2 linked regions of the Pelodiscus sinensis genome follow. The protein of the gene in region 1 purifies or fractionates together with the protein of each later gene. This does not show direct contact. Links are inferred from orthologs where the notes say so. Each region holds a gene or a part of one and is shown on either strand. Other genes may lie near its edges.

Region 1 (11,726 bases):
TTGTTTGCATTTCTCCTGATTGATATGTAAATATAGTTTGAATTGTGTTTGCCTGGTCCCTAGTGCTTTATAAAGAGATGAATTCACTTTTCTGTGGAACAAGCAAACAGACTTTAAACTAAGCCGACATCAGACAAAGTGGAAACGAGTTTATTTAATCGAAACTAAATTTAGTTTAAGAAAGATAAGCCAGTGTACATAATAATCCATTACAGTAATTACACCCACCATCAAATGTGTTTATGAGGTTGTCTGGATACAATAAAATTCATTTATTGCCCAAAGTCTATTATGTTAAGTCTCTAGCTAGTTCCACACTAAACATGCCAGTTTGATTTCTCCATTCCATGAAAATAGTTCTAGGATTTCACAGTTATTCCTAGATCTGCTGGAGTTTTAAAAATTACCTATTTTTGAAGGATTTTAAAATACATTTCAAGAGGGGAGACATGTTGATTTAAACACCGCATTTTCACACTTTAAGCGTGTATTTTAAAATTTGGAGAGAGAATGGAACAAGACCTGCTCATAAATGTATGGCATTAATCATGCACAGATCTCACGCCGATTCTCCTTGGACCAGGACGTAAGCACAGAAGTTTTACACTTAAAAGAAATTCCAGTTTCCCGATGTATTTCTATTCTAATCGACAGCACCGAGCACTCCGTTTTGGGCTCTCTGAATGCTAGTTATAAACTTTAAATTAATGTTCCTAGTAGAGGAAAAGTGACGCGAAAATAGTAACGTTAAAATATGTTCGAGCCCATTTGGTAATCTTCCTCTATCCACTTACGGAATACTATAAAAATGGACAGACTTCAAATTCTCTCTGACACGTGATGTCCTCCAGTTTAAAAGAAGGATCCGATAATCTTTTTAGTCTCTTTCCTTTTTCTTATCCGAGCTCTGAGTAATAGCTTGTCTAAATAGTATGACAGAGCTCTCCGGTGCTGCTACAAAAACTGCAGAGGTGTTTGTTTCCACTCTTGGCTACCTCCTTTCTCGCTCCGTCTCAGATAACAGGAACTGGTTCAGGATTCCTCGGCGTTTCAGAGATCTTTCCATTATGAGATTTATGCCCGCATTTTAATTAAAAAATCGGAGGGAAAATTACTACTAAAAAGGCGATTTGGAGAAAATGACCGTATGAGGTCCTTATGTTGATGGGAAAGACTAACTTTGGATTTCCAGTTTCCAAAAGGAATAATATTGGCCCAAAATCTTGCGAATGAAACTTATTTGTTGATTATTCAGTGGAATATCTACTTTGTCTATTTACCCCGAAGTTAACACTAGCTCTCTTGAACTCCCTATAATGTTTACCTCACTAATAAATGCAGCTATGTTTCTCACCTACACACATACACGCACACACACACACACTTTCTCTTGCCTATTTCTTTACAGCCTAGTCCAGCCACCGGAGCAAAGCACCCGCAGCAAAGTAGCAAGCTAGTTCCTCTGCCTGTTTTGTCAGGATGAAAGGTGCAGGACAAAAGTGATGCAAGTGCGCCTGTGTGTGCACAGATACATTGTATGAAAAAAGTTAATTCAAACTATACGCCGTACACAATAATCTATCATTTTATTTTGATTATAAATAAGGTGACTGTACTTTCCTTAAAATACAAAGTACATAAGAAAACCTGGTAGAAATTATTTTTGCACAAGTTATTAAAACTGGACACGCTTTTTAAAAGGGTTGCATTTTCTAGCCTGTCAGTGCGTTACTCCTTAGTTTGTTTCTAATAACCATACACATTTAACTTCTCTGCTTCTGGACTACTTTCCTTTCTCTGTCAATAGCCATGTGCTCCCTAGCTTGATGTCGGGCTAATGAATTCCGGGGGTCGATTCCTCCATTTGGACTAGAGTAATCTTATCTCTCTCCAAAACATGGGCCTAATCCTGCTTCCCAGTGAAACCAGTGGCCCGAACTCCTGCAAGATTTGAGCCTTTTTGCTTTTGGTGTCAATATTTATTAGCATCCCTATTTGTTTTCTGGGGTGGGGGAGAGGGAGAGATATAAGGGGAAAGCAAAGGAAAATAATAATAATAAGAATATTTGCAATGTGTATAATTTATTAGAAGCTTCTTAGGAACTATATTTAAGCCAAATATCTACATAAGTTTACAACAGAAAGAGGAGACGTGCGGAAATAACAAACTGCCAAAGGATTTACACGGATCGTTCAATGTCCATAAAAAAGGTCGGGTGTGTTTTGGTTTGATTTGGTTGATTGTATTATTTTTCTTTACAACAAAATATACAGGTTACTAAAAACTATGGGTTTAGTCCAACTTTTGACAGCATTATACAGCTACAGGTTCACATCAAAAGTAAGGGGTGGGGGAGAAATGCCAAGCTGTGACGAATCAATATCTCCATCGGCGGGCCCTGGTTGCTGGGATGGGGGGGGGGCTTTCCTTTTGTCTGGGCGACACTAATGGTGTTTTGGGGGAACGCCCACCCCTCCCTCCCGAAAATCTCTATATTTACATGCAAGTTCTATTCGCTGGCAAACTGTACATTTGAAATCCAAGCCTCCGAACCATGGTCATTCATGGTCTCCATTCTGCAACTGCGTCGTGATCTATTTTTTTTAAAAAATACCCATTTCCCAACCTACAAAGTCATTTTCTCTCTCTGCTAGGGGTTCCTCGGAGAACCGCTCGTGAAAAAGTAAAAATAAAAAATAAAATCAAACAAGCGTTTGAACAGGGTAGAGATCTGTGAGACTCGGAGCATCTGAGCTTTTTTCCAAAAAAAAAAAAAAAAATCCTTTCACCAGGTCCTACCGTAGAGCAAGGTAGAGCAGGACATGGCCGTGCCATAGTCAGAACTAGAAGAGTTTAAGTGAGACAAACTGGAGACCTGGCTCTGGAGGGAGGAAGGGCTGGCTGAGTGCTGTCCCAGGTCTGGAGACTGCCCCGCACTGTTTGTCTGGTGGCTCTGATGCTGTCCAAGGCTGTTGCCATTGGTAGCCACCGTGATGGCTGTCGCTGCCTGCTGCTGATGGCTCTGGATCGCTGCCGTTGGCGTGTTGGAGCCCGCTTGACACGGCTTGCCATCCTTTACAAGCACGGGCACCGCCACTCGCCTGGGGGACTGCTGCTGTTGGCAGGCGCTGTTGTCCTGCTGCATCTGCTGCTGCGCGGCTTTGTCTTTGGCCTGGCGTTTCATCTTGTAGCGGTGGTTCTGGAACCAGATCTTGACCTGAGTCGGCGTGAGATGGATCATGCTGGCCAAATGCTCTCGCTCCGGAGCTGAGAGGTATTTCTGCTGCTTGAAGCGTCTCTCCAGCTCGTAAACCTGGGCCTGGGAGAAAAGGACCCTGCGTTTCCTCCGTGGCGTGCTCTGGAGAGGGGCCATGCTCTTGCTAACGTCTCCAAGTGAGCTCAGGCTCCCCATGCCGCCCATGTTCATTCCAGAAGACGGCCCCATAAAGCGGGATACTAAAACCAAGAAAATCACACATTTTAAGCTACACGGTTAGAGGCCCGGCGCTGCCTGGACGAGAAACGCGTGTAGATTGTCGGCTCCCCAGCCAAGATCCTCTCCCCGATCAAACACCTGCCCATTACCAAGCTCTTTGAAACCCACCTAGCCCTCCACCGAGCCAGGCAGGGCTGTATAGACTGTGTTACTAGCATGAGGCTATTGTGATAACGATTTGCGGGGAGCAAAATCTTTGCAAATAACTGAACCCCACCGCCCATACACACACACGGGCTCTGTGGGTAGCCAAGAGCCGGACCAGGGGAACGAAACAAAAGCAGCGCCTAGGCACACACACTAGCTAGGGCAAGTTTCCATCTCCAAACCGGTATTACGCCCCTTCCGAGCCACGCTAGGTCAGGAGGAAACATCGGAAACCCCCTGGCTCCGCAGAGTTGGAGTAAGCGAATACATGTCAGTTCCCGCTTCCAGCATGCGGCGTGCCCCCCGCGTTAAGCAAGCTTGTTGGGGGAGCTGAGGCACAATTCGATGCGTCGGTTTCACTGCGAATTATTCGGGGCTTAGGGTGGAAGGGCTTGGAATGTATTGAAAGCGCCTCTTGCGCGTATGGCAATGTTTCCCGTTCGCTGTCGCGCTGTACAGCAGCAGGTTTGGGAAGAGACATCCCCCCCTCCCCAGGATACAGCCGCCCAAAGCTCGCCTCGCCTGCAGTAAAATCGCTCCGATCGCGGGGCATTTCTCCCGTCGGTTCTCCTGCGGCAAGGCAAGTGGCTCGCTAGGCTCCTACAGCGAGCCGGGGCAGATTTGGGAAGCGGGAGACAGGCGAAGAGCGGACAGAACCGGGGCTTTGGGAGCAAAACCACAAAAAATACCGATCGTGCGGCTCCTCGCTAGCCCTGCCGCTCCCACCCTTTGGGCTGACCCCATTCCGACTTCAAGCCACTCTCCCCCCTTGCCTTCCGCCCCCCCTCCCAACCCCGCACCCGACACGGCTTCTCCAAGTGGCTACACTGGGGCAGGCTTGCTCCCGGAGGTGCGCGGAAAGTTTCCCCCGCGGGTACCGGGGCTCACTTACTTGTAGAGAAGCGGGGATCAGGGTTGGCCCCATACCATCCCGTGGCTGAAGCGCTGTTCCTCATGGTCTCCTGGTAGGGTGGCAGTTCCCCCATGTTGCCTAGGTTGCCGTTGCAGTAGCCCCCCATCGTGGTATGGGAGAGTTGGGGGACGCCTGCCGCTGTCATATGGTAGGCAGCAGTCACTGTCCCGTTGTGGCCCATGGGGTGCTGCTGCATCGTTGGCTGAGAAACCTGAGTCTGCCTGTAGGCTGCCAAGGGAGCCCCCAAGTTGCTACCCTCCATGCCCACTTTCTTGTAGCTTTCCTCCAAGGGACTCAAGATGTCAGACACTGAGAAAGGAGTCGTATGCTTTGGGCTCATCGACATGATTCGGCGGCTGAAAAAAAAGGGGGAAGGGGAGGCAAATCTTTTTTGCCAAATATTCTGGTGTTGCCTTAACGCCGATCTTGTTGGATGTACACGTAACCGAGTGGACGAAGTCCGCCTTAATTGGATTGAGTGGAGGCTCAGGGCTGCCTTTCGTTTGTTTTAGCCAGACGCCAGGTTTTAGGCTGCCACCAGAGGCGGGGCATAGGCACTAAAGCAACAAGACAATAGAAGCCTACATCTTGCCCAAGATAATTAGCTTACATGCTGATGACAAGGTAAACACCTTTAAGTTTTACTTGTCAGGGTTTTAATGTCTTCTTTAAGCCGCCGTGAGCACAAGTAATTTTATTTTATTCTTCTGGGGGTTGATGGGTGGGGAATTGAATGTAATTTTACAACGCAAATTTGCTGCGTTAAAGAGAAATGATTTATAATTCTAGCCCCACTCCTAACACTATAGTCGCAGCCTTTGTGAGAGCTGGATCTATAGAGTTTAACATTATGGAACAAAGGGATTTAGTTCCCCTCTCTCCCCACTAAGTTAGATGTTAAAGAAACATTGAAGAGACAAATATCTCCTCGAATAGTTTGAGGATCCAGCTTTCGTATTTGAGCACCGTTTCCAACATGGGGCATTACACAAGGCGAAAGGGTCCTAGAGATGTCCAGCACATTGTCAGGTATGAAAGCTGGCTAGTGAACAGCACCTGCCTTGTAACCACGCTGCAAAGGAGGTTTCTCTATAGCATACATGAGAGTAACTCCTAAACTGCAACACTACAACCAGCGTCTCGTTTCTGCACATGAAACCGTAAAGATCGTGTTGCCTACTTTGCAGAGGGAAGCTTGCGAGGGTGACAGGCAGTTGAAAAATACCCTAAACCAAAGTGTCATTCTTTATTTTCTAAGAGGAGCCGTGTCAGAAGCCCCTGATAGACCCCTTAATCTGAAGATTTTTTTAAAGCTTTATTTAGGACTCAAGGAAGTTAGGGATGGAAAAGACCCATTAACTCATCTAGCCCCTCACCCTGCCAACTAAGATTTGGTTCCTTGAATTTTCTAGTATTTTGCCCAGTGTAGTTTTAAATGAATGCAGACTTCATTAATAGTTATACATGTCTATGTGGCGAATAGTTAACGTGACTCAGGTTATTATATCAGATTATTATAATGTGACTCAGGCTAAGACTTTGAAGGAATTTTCCAAATTGTACAGCAACTACAAACTACACATTTCAGTGTCTCTCCTGAACTCAACGAAAACCCTTCCATGAATTTTAACACAATGGCCCACAGGGTTGGGAGCTAATTTAATAAAGGGATTATCTGAATAGTAAGAAAATTGCAGCAATGGTGCAGTTAACCTAGTGACTTTGAAGCATCAAATCACTATTTTATAATTGCACTTGTAAATATGTTTGCACTCCGCTTGTTCCTGCTTAAAAATGCAAAAGTGCACTTGCTACCCGGGAATAACAAAATATCTTTGTCTAAAGTGGCAGCATAAATGGCCAGTCGCTTTGTGACTGTGCTTGATATTAGTACATAAGGATCATTTTACTTCAATTGGGAGACTCATTCAGTAGGCAAGAAACCGTTTAGGAGAAAGTAGGTCCCCGTATGAGAATTAACATCCTTCAAGTGTAAGCCGGAGCCTTGATTATACTGTAGAGCTCTGCAAGAGGTGAGCTTTTCTGCACAAATATAATCGGTGGAACTTTTCTGCAGTCAGCTCCTCAGTTCCTCTGCCTCAGTAGGCATCAGGTTATCTCCAGCCTTGATACCGAAATGGGTGTGTGTTGAGAATCCGTTGTGTCGCCCATCACAAATCGGAATCAAGGCAGGACAACTTTTGATTAGAAATGCATCTGGTTTGGAGACGTCCTGTTTTCGTCGCCACGTCTTTAGCTCTTTTCTAATTACGTGGAAGATTTCCTTTCATGGCTTTGCCAGAGGATAACTGAATTGATCTGTCTTTTTTATTTCACATGTATGTCAATACTTTCGTGGAGGAAGATGTTCAGTTACAAATTCGAAGCTTTTCCCCCGGGTTATCCACAAACATTTCGTGCCTATTTTATTACCTTAGAAAAGGATCAAAACATAAAAAAAAGTAGATGGACAAATGCTAGTTCTGCAAGTAAGCAGGCACTAATCATATCTTTTGAAAGGAATTTACACTAAATTATACCCGATTTCCCAAACAGCTCAGCGATGAATCTCAATGTACTCATTGCAAAAAGTTATGGTCGGTGGTAGGGGAAAGCGATGTTTTCTATTCAGAATATTACCTATACATACGGCACGTCTAAAAATCCCCTGTATTGTGCCTTTCCTACGAAATATCACTGTATCTTCTCGAGTAGTGCCTAATGGCCCGCGGGCGCCCTATCCCATGATCATTCTGCACATACACCAGACTACTGGCTTTGGGGGCATATGCGCTTTTTGAATGTGTTGAAATGATTCCCGTTTCAGAACTTTTTGTGGTTAATCATTCTTATTTGTCCCTCCCCCCCACTGAATGCACCTCGAATGGCCTCCAAATATCCCTCAGTTGGATTAAGCTGATCACTCCAGAGCTGCGCTGGATCATAGAAGGGGAAGTCAATGTGATTGCTACACCTGTCCCGAGTCCCTGATACGGACGGAGGTCAAAGGTGTTGTCACTTAGCATACACTCCTCGCCATTGATTATTTCACAGGATCATAAGACTTGCATACACTTTTCAGCAAAAAGAAGTTATCCTAGTGGAATGCTAACACAGACGCCGCTTTCCCCACGTTAATTACAGCAAGGTAGTTCATCCTCCTCTCTAACTACCGGGAAAGTTTTGTGTTTGTTTTTAAACCGCCTTTCCGACCTCCTTTTGAGAGCGCTGCCTTCAGAGCAATTGAAGTCCAGCCTGTCTGAGCTCTCAGGTCTGAGCCTACCTAACTGCCTGGCCGCAGTGTGTTCTTTTACCTGGTGCTGCTGTTTGCTAAAGCGCTTGAGTTAAAAGGAAATGCTCAGGGGGAGGAGGAGGCAGAAGAAAGCTGAAATGCATTTCGCCTGTTGGAAGCATATGCATGAGAATGCCACCGTCTTCACCCCGTGTTTGCAGAATGCTTTATTCTCCTCTCGGCGGCTACACGGACGGTTCTTCAATAGCTTCTGACCCTACACAATCCGTTTGATAACACTCGAGATGCGGAAGAATGGGGGACTTTGTCAATCAAACGGTGCCAATCCCAATGCAAACGGTGCCACCGAAACCACAGAGCCTTTCCTCATCAACTGGATTGCGGGGGTTGGGAACTCAAGGAGCAGCTTTTTAAAGTGTGCCCGGGGCTCTCCACATTTCACAATGTCTTTTTAAAATACGTGCTAGCGCGCCTCCCAAATGGGAATAAGATGAACTAGTCTAGGCAGACTCAACCTGGGGGGAGAGGGGAAGGGACAGAATTGCCCCTACATTTATTTCTCTGGATGTGGGAAGGGGAACAATTAATTTCTGTGCTTTTCGGCGTCTCGTTTAACAGATAAAGTGTCTCTCACTCTTTTGAACATTTAAGACGAAAATGGATCGCTTTGCAGTTGGTTTTCCTGCTCAAGCGGCGTCCGCGTAGAAACAGAGAAAAAACTAAGGAGCCGATTCAGCAAAGTATTCAAGTTTCAAGGGCAATCCTCGCGTGCTTAACATTAAGCATGTGCTCAAATACTTTGGTGGATCCGTCTCAAACTAGTACCACTCTTCCAACAGAAAGGGTGCACAACAATTTCCAGACAGGGTGCTTGTTTCTTCACCACGGGTTTTGAAATCAGAACTTGAGAAAGTCAGAGCTTAAGTCCAAGCTGCTGGTCCCAGCAGAGTATATTGCTGTCGGTGTGAAGGCAATCCAATTTACCCTTTGGTTTACCCCTAATCCAATTTCCCCACCTGTTAGTGAATGAGAGATGGCAGCGTTGTACCTGCCCGCCTTCTGTGAAGTTGCGTTTGCCTTTGGAAGGCGCTTTACGTTTTTCATCAAGAGCTACATTCATTGCTTAGACGTGATTAACTTTGGTAGGAGAGTCCAGAGCCAATGCATGAGCAAGTAGAACAATTTTGCTCTCATAGGTAACATTCTCTGCAGACGAATAAAAATAATTACTCCTAGAACATACATAGTAGATGGACATTTGAAACCACTGCCGATATAGCGCGGGGCGGTGTAATGGAATGTTAGCTATCTAAAGACAATTCAGCTGCAGTGTTACCTTTCACGCTAATAATTTGGTGCCATTAACAAGCCTGGTTTAGCTTCAGAGAGTTAATAAGAAAGGGAAGATCCAGAACTAGTCTTTGGGGGCAGCTTCCTGTTAATATATTGTCTATTCATTGAATTCTCCTCCCCAGCCCAAATATCTGAGCAACTTAAATATTCAGAGGGGTAGCCCCGTTAGTCTGTAACAGGAAAACTTAAAACAAAAAAACCAAAATAGTATTTGTTGTTTTTCAACTTAAATATGTACAGCAGGAAATAGAAGCAGGAATAGTTTAAACAGCATAGTTGAATCATGCTAGGATACTTCCACAGACGTATTCTTAGGTTTCAGTCAGCTACTGTTGAAAGGTAAGAGGAATGGGTGTCCCTGCAAGCAAAGGCTATTTTCCACACATACGCCTTGTAAATGCCCTCTTAAAATCTATTGCCCTGATGGGAGGAACTGTCGTTAGGGGGGGGAAAAATCTATATTCCTTCCGTAGACAGCTCCCACTCCATGGCGTACTTCAGTGAGGCAGGAGCAGGGTGGAAGTGAAGGGTTTTGAGGACTAAGGAAATGAAAAGGAAAGCCCCCCACACTTCTCCCTCTCAGGACTGGAGGCTGCTTTCTGAGCCTGGACCCTATGATGACTCTTGGGGGCAGGTTCCGGATTTCCAAAGCTACTCTGACCATGTGGAGAGTCCCCTTTGGCCCCATCCCACAGGCTGATCTTGCGCCGCGCTCCTTAGAGCGCAGTGTTGGTACAGAATTGCCTTAGCCTCCACCTCGGCTTCAGAACGCTTCTCTCGTCACCCCCGCCCAGAGCCCTGACTCTGCTCCTGCCAGGCCCACAGCCCGCTGTGAGGTGCCATTAGCTATTGCAGAGGGCAGCCTCCTCTGCTCTGGGATGGATTTGGCCTGGGTGCCGCATTGCCCCTTGGGTAGGAAATGCACCCAGGAGACATGGACAGCCCCTTGGCTGAGGGGAGATTAACCTCTGGCGAAGGGCAGATGGGGGTGGAGAGAGGGAGACATGCCAGCCCAGAATCAGGGGCTGAATGGGAGCCCTTTGCAGGCTGGCAGATCAGCCCTTCGTGCCCCAGGAAGGAAAGCTTTGGCAAGTTAGGGAGGGTGGGGAGCTAGCGTCCGTGGAGGATTTTATTACAAACAATTGTATTTGGGAACTCAGCTCAGAAAAACAAAACTATTTCCCCATACCCGATAACTGCCACTCCTACCCATTTCCACCCGCCTCATTTCAAATGCCAGCACTGGTGGGAGCCACCCAGCAGCCCTGCATCTGGAAAGCAATAGATCTGGAGCAGCGGCCCCCTCCTCCCAACACCTGACCAGTAGTGTTAATTCGATTTGTTAGCCCACTAAAGATTTTAGAGCCGCTGAGGCTTAACATTCTGGAGTACAAAACTTCCCAGACCCGCAGAGCAAAAGCTCCCAAATGGATTCTGTCTGGGCAGCTAGGTATAGGATGAAGCCGAGGGAGAAAGTTGCCAGTAGGTATATATTTGCTTTAAGATAATGGTGAATGAAAGAGAGTCGGCGTCGCATCTCGGTGTACTTGTGTAGCTGCGTGTCTGTGTTTTGGTGCCAGCTCTCCACTGCTTGTAATTAAACTTGTGGCTTTGGAGGGAAATGGGGAAGGGGAAGAGAGCTTGTCTGGTTGACTGCTTAAAACATTTTTTCAGGACTCAGTGGCTAAACTTCTTCGTCCTGCTCGGGCAAATAGTTGCATCGGGAATAATGTGAGCAGGTTTCGAGTTTGTAATTCAAAAAAGCTATTTTCTTTGCTTCACTTACCGAAAATATTTACCTTCAAATACGGAGAAGGTTTAAAGCTAGCCAATACGTTCTGCGTTTGCTGTACGGATGCTGATGTGTAAAAGCCTGCATGGAAAGTCTATTTTTTTATGAGTCTCAGACTATTTCAAACAATCCGACGACTCTTGCCACTGAGCGCTGCAGTTTCTGCTTCGCACCTTCCTCCGCTGGGACCACGCAAACGCCTTTTTATTTGCATCGCTTTTCTGTAGTGTTTGTGGCTTCCCTTCCTTTCTCCTCCCGGCTGGCGTGCGCTACAGTTACACTCTTGATCATTACAAAAACTCTGTCACTGACATTTTGTAATCCCGTAACAGGAATATTTCTATTGGTCCTGTGCTTGCAGGACTTGATTGTTTTTTTTACGCAAACTAAAGCTGAGGCCAAATTAGACCTGCCAATGATCTACCTTCAGAGCGGTTACCCGCGGATTTCTCGCACTGCGCTCATCGCTTGGTGCCAAAGAGCATTGCTGGCTAATGCAGGGATTGCATTGATCAGATCAACAATGCTACAGGTACACCTCCCCCCCCCCCCCCGGTGAAACGTGGCAACTCCGACGAAAAGAATCCTGAAGCTGATCCGCCCTCCTCCGTGTTGTCATTTCCTTCTGAACAACCTCAAGCAATAGCTCTCCAGTAATTGCCCTGAATTATTCCCTTCCATTCCTCACCCCTCCAAAAACATCTTTGGGCTGTGGTCCTCCGGGAAAGCTGAGAGGACTCCCAGTGCGCCCTTGTAGCTGAAAGAAGTTCT
Region 2 (11,726 bases), about 910 kb from region 1:
TCCAAAACTCCCACTTCCATCAATGAGAGTGCAGGATTCGTCCCAGGGCAATTGTGCATGCGTGTTCTACTAACCGAAGAGTATTTTGCCAGTGTCAAAAGGATAATCTGAGAAAGTAAATAGCTTTCTTGTTGCTTAGAGATTAGTGTTTTGCGACTTCACAGCAGTATTGTCCTTCAGACCTTCTTAATTAAAAAAGAGAACCGTATACGTCTGCTTGCTTGCTTCTTCATCTCCGTATTGTTAAAAGTATTGCCACATACCTGTAAACTTGCATGAGATTATAGAGCACAGAAGGGGGCAGTGGGTAGGGATGGAAAGCACAAACAAATAGTTTACAAGCCCAACAATCGGTTTTTTTCTCTTTCTCTCTCGTAAGCAACCCCCGGCAAAGGCGACAGCGATCTTTGGAAGGGCAGAGGAGAGGGAGCGAGGAGTTATGTACAGAGGGGGGGGGGGGGGGGTCGCTCCGCTTTGCAGGCGCTCCTGGTTTCGAACAACGTACCCACGGCGTGTGAACACAACAAGAAAGTAACAGTCCTTACGCGGGAAGCGCGCGGGAATGGGACAGTTTGGTTCCCGGGCTGGCGAGGGGGAGACTCGGACTCGCCCCGCGAGGTGGGCCGAGCGGAGCTAAGAAGTGTTTAGCACGGGTCTGGAATACACACCTTGATAGTAGGAAGGCTCCAAAGCGGAGGGCTCAATGCTACTCCTCCCGGCCATGGAGGCGCTGCCCAGGGGCAGCCCGCCCGGGATGCCAGCCCCGTAAGAAGAGTATTGCAGCGCCTGCTCGTAGGCTTTGAAGTCCAGCTTGTGCTGCTGTTCCGAGGAGGACATGAGGTTGTTGATAGAAAAGGGGTGGTTGAAGGAATAATGGGGGTCGCCTTTGAGGTGGAGCGGGGGCTCATGGGCTAGGGAGTGCGGCGGGTGCTGGACAGGCGCCAGGGAGGGCACGGAGCTGAGGGTGGAGGACGCCGCGGAAGCCGAGGTCTTAAGCTCAGTACTCGCTCCAGTGTGGTCCATGGCGTGGGGGCTGGCGGCGGGGTTGGGGTTGGGGATGGAGCTGGCGGACTCTAGCGGGGCGGGTTTCGAGTGAGCCCGGTGTAAAGGGGAGTTGGAGCCGGACTGGGAGGCGCCGGGGGGCTCTTTCCTGCCCTCCGCGCTGGCTTTGTTGCTCGCCTGCTTCTCGCACTTGAAGCGCTTCTGCCGGCGCAGGTAGCAGCCGTTTTCAAACATGTTGCCCGAGTCGGGGTGCAGGGTCCAGTAGGAGCCTTTGCCGGGCTTGTCGGGCGAGCGGGCCACCTTGACGAAGCAGTCGTTGAAGGAGAGCGAGTGGCGGATGGAGTTCTGCCAGCGCTGCTGGTTCTGCCGGTAGTAGGGGAACAGGTCCATGATCCACTGGTAGATCTCGCTCAGCGTCAGCATCTTGCTGGGCGCCTGCTGAATGGCCATTGTAATCAGCGAGATGTAGGAGTACGGCGGCTTGGCGTGCGGGTAGCTTCGCTTGAAGGTCTTGGTGTCCCGGCTCCGCGAGAGGTTGGACTGGGCGTAGGCCATGGGACTCATGCAGGGGTTCATGCTGGCGTACGGGCTCAGGCCATTCATGGAGGCTTGCTGGGCGGACATGGCGTTCATGCCGGTGGGGCTAAGCGCCGTCCCCATGGCCGCCACCCCTGCCGTCATGCTGTTCATGGCGCTGCTGGAGCCCGCCGACATGCCTGCCATGGCGCCGGGGCTCAGGCCGGCCCCAAGCCCCGGGTTGGCGTAGGACATGTTAAAGGAGCTGGATGTCATGTTGCCGCTCGTGGTCATGGTGTTCATGCTCATGTAGGTGTTCATGGTGTTCATAGAGCCCAGGCCGGAGTTCATGTTGCTGACGGGAACTGAGGAATAGGCCTAGACAGGGACACAAGATGAAGAGAGGCGGTGAGCACGAGAGAAGGACACGAACCACTTTTATGAAAGCGAATCCCCGGAGTCCCTTGCACAAGAGGGGAAACGTCTCCCGGCCTTACACCGAGCAGTAACGTCGCCTGACCTCCAGGAAGTTACCACGGCCGTTCTGGAGGCGATCTACCTCCAGCCTATTTACAAATACAAAGTGATAATATATACACCTCTGATGTATCTTACAAACCTCCAGCCAACATGAACACCTTTTTGCCTTTATAGTGTGTCTATTACTATACTACGGAAACTGCTAATTTTATTCTCCGCTGTTTCATGCAGACGGTAGCAGGGTGAGAAAGCTAAATATTTTATTCAGTACTTATTTGGAAAAAGCGCCTGTATTTGTATCTCCGGCGACTGATGCAGCATGCACTTATCTTACTAAGTCACGCTAAAAGTACAATCTCACCTTTTCATATCAAAACAAGTCATGCACACACCATGCTTACAAATAATGTAAAGCGATTGTCTAAAACCAGTTACATGTTCCTCTTATTTCTCCCCATATTCTTAATGTTTGATTAGCTAATAAAAACCTAATACAAAAATATGAACAAACTTGTGCGTTTTCTGATTAAATTTTGGACAAGGCAGAATTAAATTGTCTAGGTTTTCCTACAAAGCATCATCATACATATGGCTGCCACGTATTTGATTTGTTTTTGTTAAACAAACTAATAATATACCATTAAAAGAAATTCAGCTATTCCCCCGTTTAGACCATATTTTATTTATAAATCTGAGAGACAGCACGTGGACCGTTTTGTTCAATATCTGTGTCACATTATTTAACCTAACATCAAAAAACATTTCCCAAAATATATATACGCTAAATTCTATATTGTTTCCTTATGATTTTTTATAATCTTCTAATGTGCAATAAAAATACGATTGAGACACATTTCTGAACTATTATAAAATATATCACCAAAATTACTAAAGGAATATAAAGCAATAATACATCTTAATTGGATAGAAATAAGGTCAAGGCCTTTCTCGTTCATTTACAATTTAGAGTGAACAAATAGAATTCTGCTAAGTAAAAGCTATGTTTAATTATTATTGATGTACTGTAGAATTTGCAGCTCCTTATTATAAGCAATCATGCCGTTTGTCTCCTAAAATCCTGGTTTTATTTTATATTGAGATAATTATTTCACGGAACAGTTTAAAACAAGAAGGCGTTTCCCTTACAAAAATCTATGCAGTGTATATATTATAGTAGCAAATAAGGACAAGCAATTGTCGCTAACATAGTAATAGGAAGGCTCCCAAAACTTTATGGTAGGGAATATTAAATACAGAAAAGCTAAATATGGTTTTCATCTGCCCCTTCAACATTAAAAAATAAGTGTATGGGAACACCCATGCACCCACTGTTCCTATATGTGTGCGCAAATATTTAGTATATATATATCCCGCATCTTAACCCTACGCATTTACAATTCTACTATGAAGTGTCTCCTTTCTGCGTACTAATCTGTGCATAACTTTGGATATTCTCTCTGTTACTTGTTTAATGCTAAGTGTGTTGTTTCTCACAAATATTCCAATGTGAGCTAAACGGTCACATCCACAAATGTGCAAACAGCAATCCCTGTTGGGTTTCAATCCATATTCCAAGGGGAGGCAATTCACTCCGTATTGGTGCTTTATTTGCCCTCTATCATTGTCCATTTGCTTATGTTTGATCTTTTCTTTCTGTTCCTTCTGAGCATATTGTAAAAACAAGAATAACATGGAAATGCGACGGGGATGGAGAAAGAGACAGGTTCCCCCGGGCCCGCCTGAGGAGACTCTCAGCAGCGCCACCCTCCGGTCCCAGGAAGAAGCACTGCCATGTTTCAAAAATCTTGTTGCAAAGGACAAACGACTGGTTATTTTGCCCAGTAAAGCACCAGAATTAACAGGTGAGGCCGTAGGAAGCTGTGGGGAAAGGCCTTAAAACCGAAACTCGCCCACGGCGGGGGAAGGCGCTAGTATTTGCCAAGGATTTTTGCAACTCGTGGCCCTCACACCGTGCACCATCTGGAGAGCCCTGGGCTGCGGGAGCGAGGGCTCAGGCACAGTCCTCTGCGCCAAGCCGAGAGTTTACGGGGCGCTTTTGTGTGTGTGTGCAAAAGTACAAATGACGCCTCTTACACGAGCTCGATCCCCCTCCCCCGCACTCCCACTCACTGCAAGCACAAGCAGCGGCCCCGTTTTCACGGAAGCGCCATTGGGTTGAGGGAAACCCTGGCGATTTCTTTATTGCTTGGCCGGCTTCAGTGGAAAAGGCACGTCTGCACTGGCAGGATCTGGAGTGCAACCCTCTTCCCCATATTGTTACACACACTCCAGCCCTCCCTCCTCCCCCTGCGCCAGCTCCAGCGGCTCCGGGGCAGCAAACAAGCGAGCTCCTTGGATTCACTCACCTCCTGCGTGTCGGTGTAGTAGCTGCTCCAGTCGTTAGTTTCATGCCCTTCCATTTTCACAGTCCCTAACATCATGGAGCCAACCTGCCCGGTGTAACCATCCAGCCTCTCTCCCAGCCACAGGCAGCAGGAAAGGGAGCGTGACAGCCCCAAACTAGCAGGAAGCCAAATCTCGGGGGGAGGGGGGAAGGAGGAGGGGTTGAGCTGTGGTCTACAATCAGCCAAAAAAGAGGCAGGCAGCGGTGTGGGGCGAGACACTTGAGAAAGTGAGGAAGTGCCGGCTGGGATGTGAGTGGAGTTGAGCTGATGTGGATCTTACGTCGCAGAAGTGCCCACCTCCTCCTCCTCCTCTCCCCATTTGTCCGCCGCACAAAGACGTTCGCACCTACAAAGCCGGAGATGCACCTGCAAACAAGGCAGTTCCACTCGCTTGCAACTCCCCCGGGGCGTCACTTTATTTGCAAAGCAGTGTAATTGGTTTAAGCTACGGGGAAAGAAGGAGAGACAGAGGTGGGAGGAGGGAGGGGGGAGAAAGAGTAGGAAAGGAAAATACCCTCTTTTCAAATGGCCAGTAGAAATGCTAGCAGGGATCGCTGGAAATTACACGAAGACGATAAGGAAGGGCAACCCCCGCTGTTTGTATAGAATTCAAAAGGCCACCCAGCCTCCGAACTCGGAGATTTGGGAGCCGTATTTACTAAAGTGCAGTAGATGTTCATTTAACGTGGCGACCGGCATTTCAAAGTATTCAAAGTAGCCAACATACACCCAAGATATGAGAACTAGTCTTAAGATTATACAGCACTTTTCACCTTCCTCTCCCCCCCCCCCCACTCACCAAAGCAAATAACTTTGGCGCTTCCAATTTCAATCTATGTTCTCTGCCATATGTTTCCAAAATTCTATTGACATGTTCATGGGCTAAGACCAGTCCATTCCTCTATACAAGGCTTCTATGTAGCTGTAAGTTTTATTTTTCTCTTTTGCTGTTTCTTACGTTCAGAAATCATGCCATGTGAGTCACAGCGGTGAGGCATGACGTTAAGCCACCCAATAAACACGAACACCGGATTGAATGCGGATCCACTGATATTAACCTATATGTGACAAACATCAGGTGAGTCACTGAAACCATTTTCTATCCTTGTTATAGAAAGTATTCATCCCATAAGCTTGCTTGGAAATAGTCACCCAGCCACAGTGATAATAATAAGCAGCGGATGCCTGACTAGTAACTTTAATTGTGCATTACTCTGATTTCTCTCAAGAAATGGGGGTGCCTCACAATGGTCATATTTGGCTAAAAGTTGAAATTGGTCAGTAACAACAAACAAAACTACACTGAGCAAAACTCTTGGGCAATCTACCCCGCTCTTGCAGGGGAGGGGAACTAAGATATCATTTTAAATTTCCACCTTTTGTGATTCTCTGATCTGATGTCAAGATCGTAGACACGTCTTTGGGTTTCTTAGCAACATCCTTTATGTTTGTCCCGATGACAGAACTTGTATTACTTCGTAGTAAAAAGCTTTCGGGGGAGTTTAAGGGAAGGAGAATAAACCACCTTACAATTCTTGGGCATTTGAAAATCGATGTGATACGAATCGTAACAAACATTAAAAATACACTAGTGAACTGAATTTCTGTACATGGTGTTTATCAGATGGGACATACACAACGGCTTTTAGTTGCTTCCTCGTTTAATTGTCCTTGTGGGTTTTTTTACTAATAGTGTGACAAATTCTTGTGCATCACAAATTAAGCACGTTTCACATTAAAGTCTCTCAGAATAAATTAACATTATAATACACATAGTCTCACATATAATATCTCTGCTTTGAGAAATATGTTTTAACTTGTCTCGTAAACGCGTCCTTTGTTATCCATATCTTTGTTCTTTTTCTTCCCCTTTTTTTCTTTAAATCTGGCAACAGAGTTAAGTTAAATCTTCGAAACAAACAAAACTATGAAATCAGCAGGCGAGAACAAGGGAGGAAAACGTGCCGTTAAAGAAACAAAAGGATAAAAGCACTGGATTACAATCCGCTTTTTAAAACGGTCACACTGTAAATAAAAGATTTATCTTGAAACAAAATCCACATAGAAGGTATTAATAGACAACATAATCAAAGAATGCAGCATCTATCTATCTATCTATCTATCTATCTATCTATCTATCTATCTATCTATCTATCTATCTATCTATCTATCTATCTATCTATGACCTGATCAGTCTATCTATAACACAAATTAGTACTTTTTGAGTCACTTATTTATTTCAATATTTTTGGTTCTGTTTGGACAACATACCAGGTCAAAATATACACGAATGCCCTATGAAACCGTGCGGGGCTCTCAGCAGCAAGGGGTCCTCTGTTTTTCTCGTGATTGTGCCACAAACTATTCTTTGTTTGTGTGAGATAAGCAAGATAGTATCCTATTTTCCGCAGCAATGTAATTCTAGTGAAAACAGCCGCCTAATATATTAGCTCTCATAAGAGATCAGAAACTGTCTCCGCCACATGTCTACTGGATACGTTCGCAAAAATTATATAGAAACGTTATAAGGCAAAGTGTATCAGCTAGCTCAAAAGTCAAGCTGTTTAAAATTACATTCTCTGGCCTTCCAAAAGCCATAGGCAATGATATCAACACACACAACCCACCCTGATTAAAGATTCAGCCCCTTTTTAAAGAGTAGGTTTCCTCTGCTGAAAGGTAATTGTAAGACAATTTTGTTTCACTGAATTTCTACGTGTACAGGAGACTTGTTTGTACAAAGTCACAGCGCCTCCTGTTGTCCAGCTGCTATGCCAAACTCACATACCTGTTTTACACACAGCTACTGGGTACAATGCCACATGAATAGCTGCAGTTTATAATCTTCTTACAACAGTTTTCACTTACTTAGACAAATCAAGCTGCCTGAGGCAGAGAATCAGCAGCTACTGGAAATTCCCTCAGTGCCCACTCCTCTTTACAGCACTGCAGCCTGCTGTTTGAGAGACAGATTTTCACTGCAATTTAGCAGTGGATCTAAGCTCGAGGATCGGGGCGGTTATTTGTGCGGGTGTTTGCAAATAGTAAACGGTGGCTTTGGCTGTGAACCGTTTTAAAAAGAGTACATTTCTAGCCAGCTAGCTGCTGAAACTCTATGTAATGTGCCCGACGATCTGGGTGTCAGCCGCATTTGGCCATACTTTGAAGACTCTCTGGGCAGGAAGGAACGGAGACTCTTCTTAAGAAGTGCGTGGGTGACTCCGGATCAAACCTCTTGGGATGAGTCTAGTTGCCGAAGTGTGTTTGCTAGGCTAGAATAGTATAGCCCTGGTTCCAGTATAGTGATCCTTTCTTCTTAGTGCACCACAGCTGATTGTAACTATTTACAATGACTCCCTGAAATCATTTGCTTCAACTGTCATTCGTTTTGCAAAGTCACAGGACGGGGACACAGAACAGAGAGAGCTTCTGCTCTCGGATGTCTAATGGGGACCAGAGTTTCAATTCCGTTTAGTGGTCTCTCTGCATCAGAAACCGGAGGATGTTGCAAATTAGGAAGGGGAAATAGAAAAGAGACCGACGTTAGCTGGAGCTATTATTATAAGAGAGTCACAACTCATCCCACTTACGTGATGAAAAACATACAATTTTTGAAGCCAGTTTGCGCAGTATTTCTGAGTAAGGGTATTCCAGGGAGGCCTCAGGTAGGGAGATAATGACAGTGAACAAAGGGAACGGTGGCAGATTTCTGGAGTATTTGTCATCTCATTTATTGAAGAATAAAAGTAAGGGAAATTAGTGTTTTCTATTCATGCTCACTTACCAAATATGAAAGTTGGATCATCTGGACAGTCCAGCCACCCCAAAGATTCATTCCCCCCTACAAACTGCAACAAACACAGAAACAAAATTATTAAGAATGATTTTTTTAAAAGAGAAAAAACTGTTCATTTTTCCTAGAAAACGTTGCCGTTTAATGTATTTATCTTTGCCTTTGATGCAGACGGGACTTACGGGTAATTCTTCAGGTTTAATTTGAAGTGGCCACTTGGTTTTAGCTAAATAAGATATTTGTATCGACATTAAAGAGATTTTCTGTTAAGGGACATATCGCTGACACGTGAAGCTGTTCCAATCATCTGTCTCTTTCCATGGAGCTAGGGACATTTTTCTTCTGTGTTAATTGTACAGACTTCGTTTCATTTTACTATATACATTTAACTGCAGAACTGCACATAGAACTGGTCATTATCAGAAAGGATTTCCATATTATTAGAGTATTATGGGTGTGTTAAAGTAGGTTGGACTAAACTTGGTGATGGCTATCTATCTATCTATCTATCTATCTATCTATCTATCTATCTATCTATCTATCTATCTATCTATCTATCTATCTAAAGAAGCTTCATTTTTTTTCTACAGAAGAGATGAAGCAGAAACAGGAAAATCCTATTACTCTAATTTCACACAAAACCGCACACCAATGTCAATAAAACAAATAATCCAACGAAAAGCCCGATGTTGTCAGATCGCAGGGTGCAGCACCCGTTTCTTTTAAATACAGGACAGAGACAACACAGATTGTGAAAGCCTGAATCCTCCTTTCTCACTCCCAGCATGTACTTCGATTAATGTAAAGAGCTTCTGATTTCCACGAAGAAACCGGTAAGTACCAAGACGAAATGCAATTTTATGGACGGATCTAGACATAATAGAACCACTTCGGGACTTGGCAGCATTGACTGAAATATAAACAGCGATGAAAGGGCCCAGCATATTTCTGGGGGCAAAATAGATAGCCTCGTGCATTTTAACACCTCTCCTGCCAGCCCAACAACTGGAAGCTCTGTGTTTTGAAAGTATGCCTCTGACGCAGATAGCCATTCTCGATACTGGCTTTGATTTAAGGGTTGAGCTCTCAGTCGCTCAGCAGGAGTTCACGAACAGGTGAGATTTGATAAGGTTGCATTTACTTTCCTCTCTTTTGGGATAAATGTACTTGCCTAGACAGGTAAGAACACTTTATTGGGTCAACAGTGGCTTCTAGTCTTTTCCTCGTGAACTTTTCTTGCCTCGGATTTTGTCAGTCGAGTAGTTTTTCCTTAACTAATGATCTGCCTCGAAATGAAGTGTCTTTCCCCCCTTACTCCTGCTGGTTTTGTTTATCCCGCTAACCTGCAAAAAGAATCGTATTCCTCTTAAAGTAGATTTTAAATGTAGTGTATTGTGAATCACTTACTAAGTGACATATAACGACACTAAAATGGTTCCTGATCCCATCCACACGGTCTGGACTCTTTTTCCTTCTGAATTGACTCCTTTATCTCCTGTGGTGTCTACAGGAAAAAGCCCATTTCAAATAAAACAATGCATTTGAAAAATGAATCTCTATTCAGCTATTCAAATGAATCGATGTTTCTACCTTTAATTTCAATCTAATGCAAGATGCAGGATTAAAGCAGTACTGTTGTCAACTCCCAGACGCTGACAATACAAACAATCTAGTCACTCCTTTAAAGAGGTACTATACAAAAGTAAATGGAGGACAAATTATATGAGAAATTCTACAAAAATGTTAATATTTTTGAAACTATGTGTTATTAATGTTGAGTAATTAACTATACCCAGATCAGGATTCTGGAGAATTGCCAGGAAGTCAATTTATAAATTTGTGTTAATTTATAAAATTAACACAAATGTCACCTAGGAATTCGAGTGTTTTCGCCTCCACCCTTCTCTCCTACCCCCATTTTTTGTCGCGCCAGGTGTGTGACTGATAGATTGTCCGAATGGATCTAGAGTATGTTTTCCTGATAGAGGAAGCAAAGAAACTGTAGCTCAGCCGCACTACAGTTCTTTCCATCAGCTGTACTAGGGGTTCCCGAGATCTTTATTTTGCAAGTTACAGGAGCACCGATAAGTTAATCGCCTACACCTGACTCGATCCTGCTGCTATTGCAGTCAGTGAAAACAGGATCCGGTCCATCAGATTTATGAACTATTGAGGAGGAAGGGGAAAGACCACAACACAGCTAAGAAGGCGCTCAGGATCGGTCCCTAACAACTCCGGATTCTATAATTGCCTGATTATGATAACCGAGCCCTGTTACAAAGTTCTTTTACACAATCACAGGAGATATCGCTCTGTGCATTGTCATAGCGATGCTGCACTGCCAGGATTTTTTGTTGGTTTGTTTTTTTGGTTTTGGTCCCATAATTTGTATTGATGTGATAGAATCCATTCTTTTATGCGTGAGAATACATTTCCTTACATCATTCAATTCCTGCTCTAAAACAGATTAGAAAATATCTGTGCACTAAAACCAGGTAAGGAGGAAAAAATCTTTAAAATTAAAATGACAAATAAATACTGTCCAATCATTGCTTTTGGCCACAAAGACAATTGGATAATGAGAAAATGTATGTTTTCTTTGTTTAAAGCAACATATTTTTGTTAAATAGTTTATAATGCAGGTAAACTATGTAATGCATACTGTAAGTTAATTTTTGTGAATGCTGCTAGATATATACAAGCTGTTTGGATAGTTCAAATTGTCAGGATGCCCACATTTATACATGGTCTGGGGTGGATCATTGAAGTATGGAGACAGACCTATTAAAATATATTGTTTTTTCCCATCAGTGTCAAAAAGAAAGCATTTATTTTGAATGTTGGGTGCAATAGTTATATTATAATTTATGGAATCTATAAAAATAAACATGTAGCTTGTATATTGGTTGCCCTGTACCCATTTTCACCAATCCATTGTTCAAAAACACTTTGTTGACTTTGAAAAGTTACCAGAGTCATAACTGTTTGCAATGTTGCTGTAGCTTTGGTGGTCTCCGGATATTAGAGACAAGGTGAGTGAGATCATAACTTTTATGGACAAGCTTCTGTTGGTGAAAGAGACAAACTTTCACCAAGGAGCTCTGTGGGAGCTGGAAAGATAGTCTGCTTCACCTACAGACAGACTCTGGTCCAGTGAAAGGTATTACCTAACCTTCCTTGTCTCTGGAGTCATAGTAACATACTAGCAGTAGCTAAGTAGTGAATTTAGGTAAAACATACACAAATCCCTATAGTTTCCTACTTGTGGAATCCAACACAAACAACAAACATGACCTTTCAGGGTTTAGGTGGGGCTTTCAGCATAGAAGAAAGGAAGTGAAAAAACTGTTATTGAACTGGATCTTTAGCTCTAACAAGGGACTTGTTAAATTGACAATATATGTAGTTCTCCAGGCAAAAATTTGAATTTCTTGGAGAAAGGTTGACTCAACTTCAAAGGCCATAATAAATCAAATAATTCCATACCACAATGACCACAAGCTGCAGAATGGACTGTGGCTGCAGTCTCA

What was found.
Region 2: the proteins of NKX2-1 (region 1) and FOXA1 purify together in Homo sapiens (affinity purification with western blotting; 3 studies listed by BioGRID and IntAct, with this or other methods). This does not show direct contact. The link is inferred for Pelodiscus sinensis from reciprocal best matches to the Homo sapiens genes NKX2-1 and FOXA1.

The regions. Positions count from the first base shown.
Region 1 is NC_134714.1:47,163,234-47,174,959, reverse strand, and holds NKX2-1 (homeobox protein Nkx-2.1), read right to left. Parts: upstream 4,975-11,726; 5' UTR 4,904-4,974; coding exon 4,537-4,903; intron 3,458-4,536; coding exon 2,787-3,457; 3' UTR 2,727-2,786; downstream 1-2,726. UniProt on the Homo sapiens protein: Transcription factor that binds and activates the promoter of thyroid specific genes such as thyroglobulin, thyroperoxidase, and thyrotropin receptor. Crucial in the maintenance of the thyroid differentiation phenotype.
Region 2 is NC_134714.1:46,255,398-46,267,123, reverse strand, and holds the start of FOXA1 (hepatocyte nuclear factor 3-alpha), read right to left. Parts: upstream 4,779-11,726; 5' UTR 4,440-4,778; coding exon 4,365-4,439; intron 3,861-4,364; exon of another isoform or gene 1,909-3,860; intron 1,897-1,908; coding exon 634-1,896; 3' UTR 1-633. UniProt on the Homo sapiens protein: Transcription factor that is involved in embryonic development, establishment of tissue-specific gene expression and regulation of gene expression in differentiated tissues.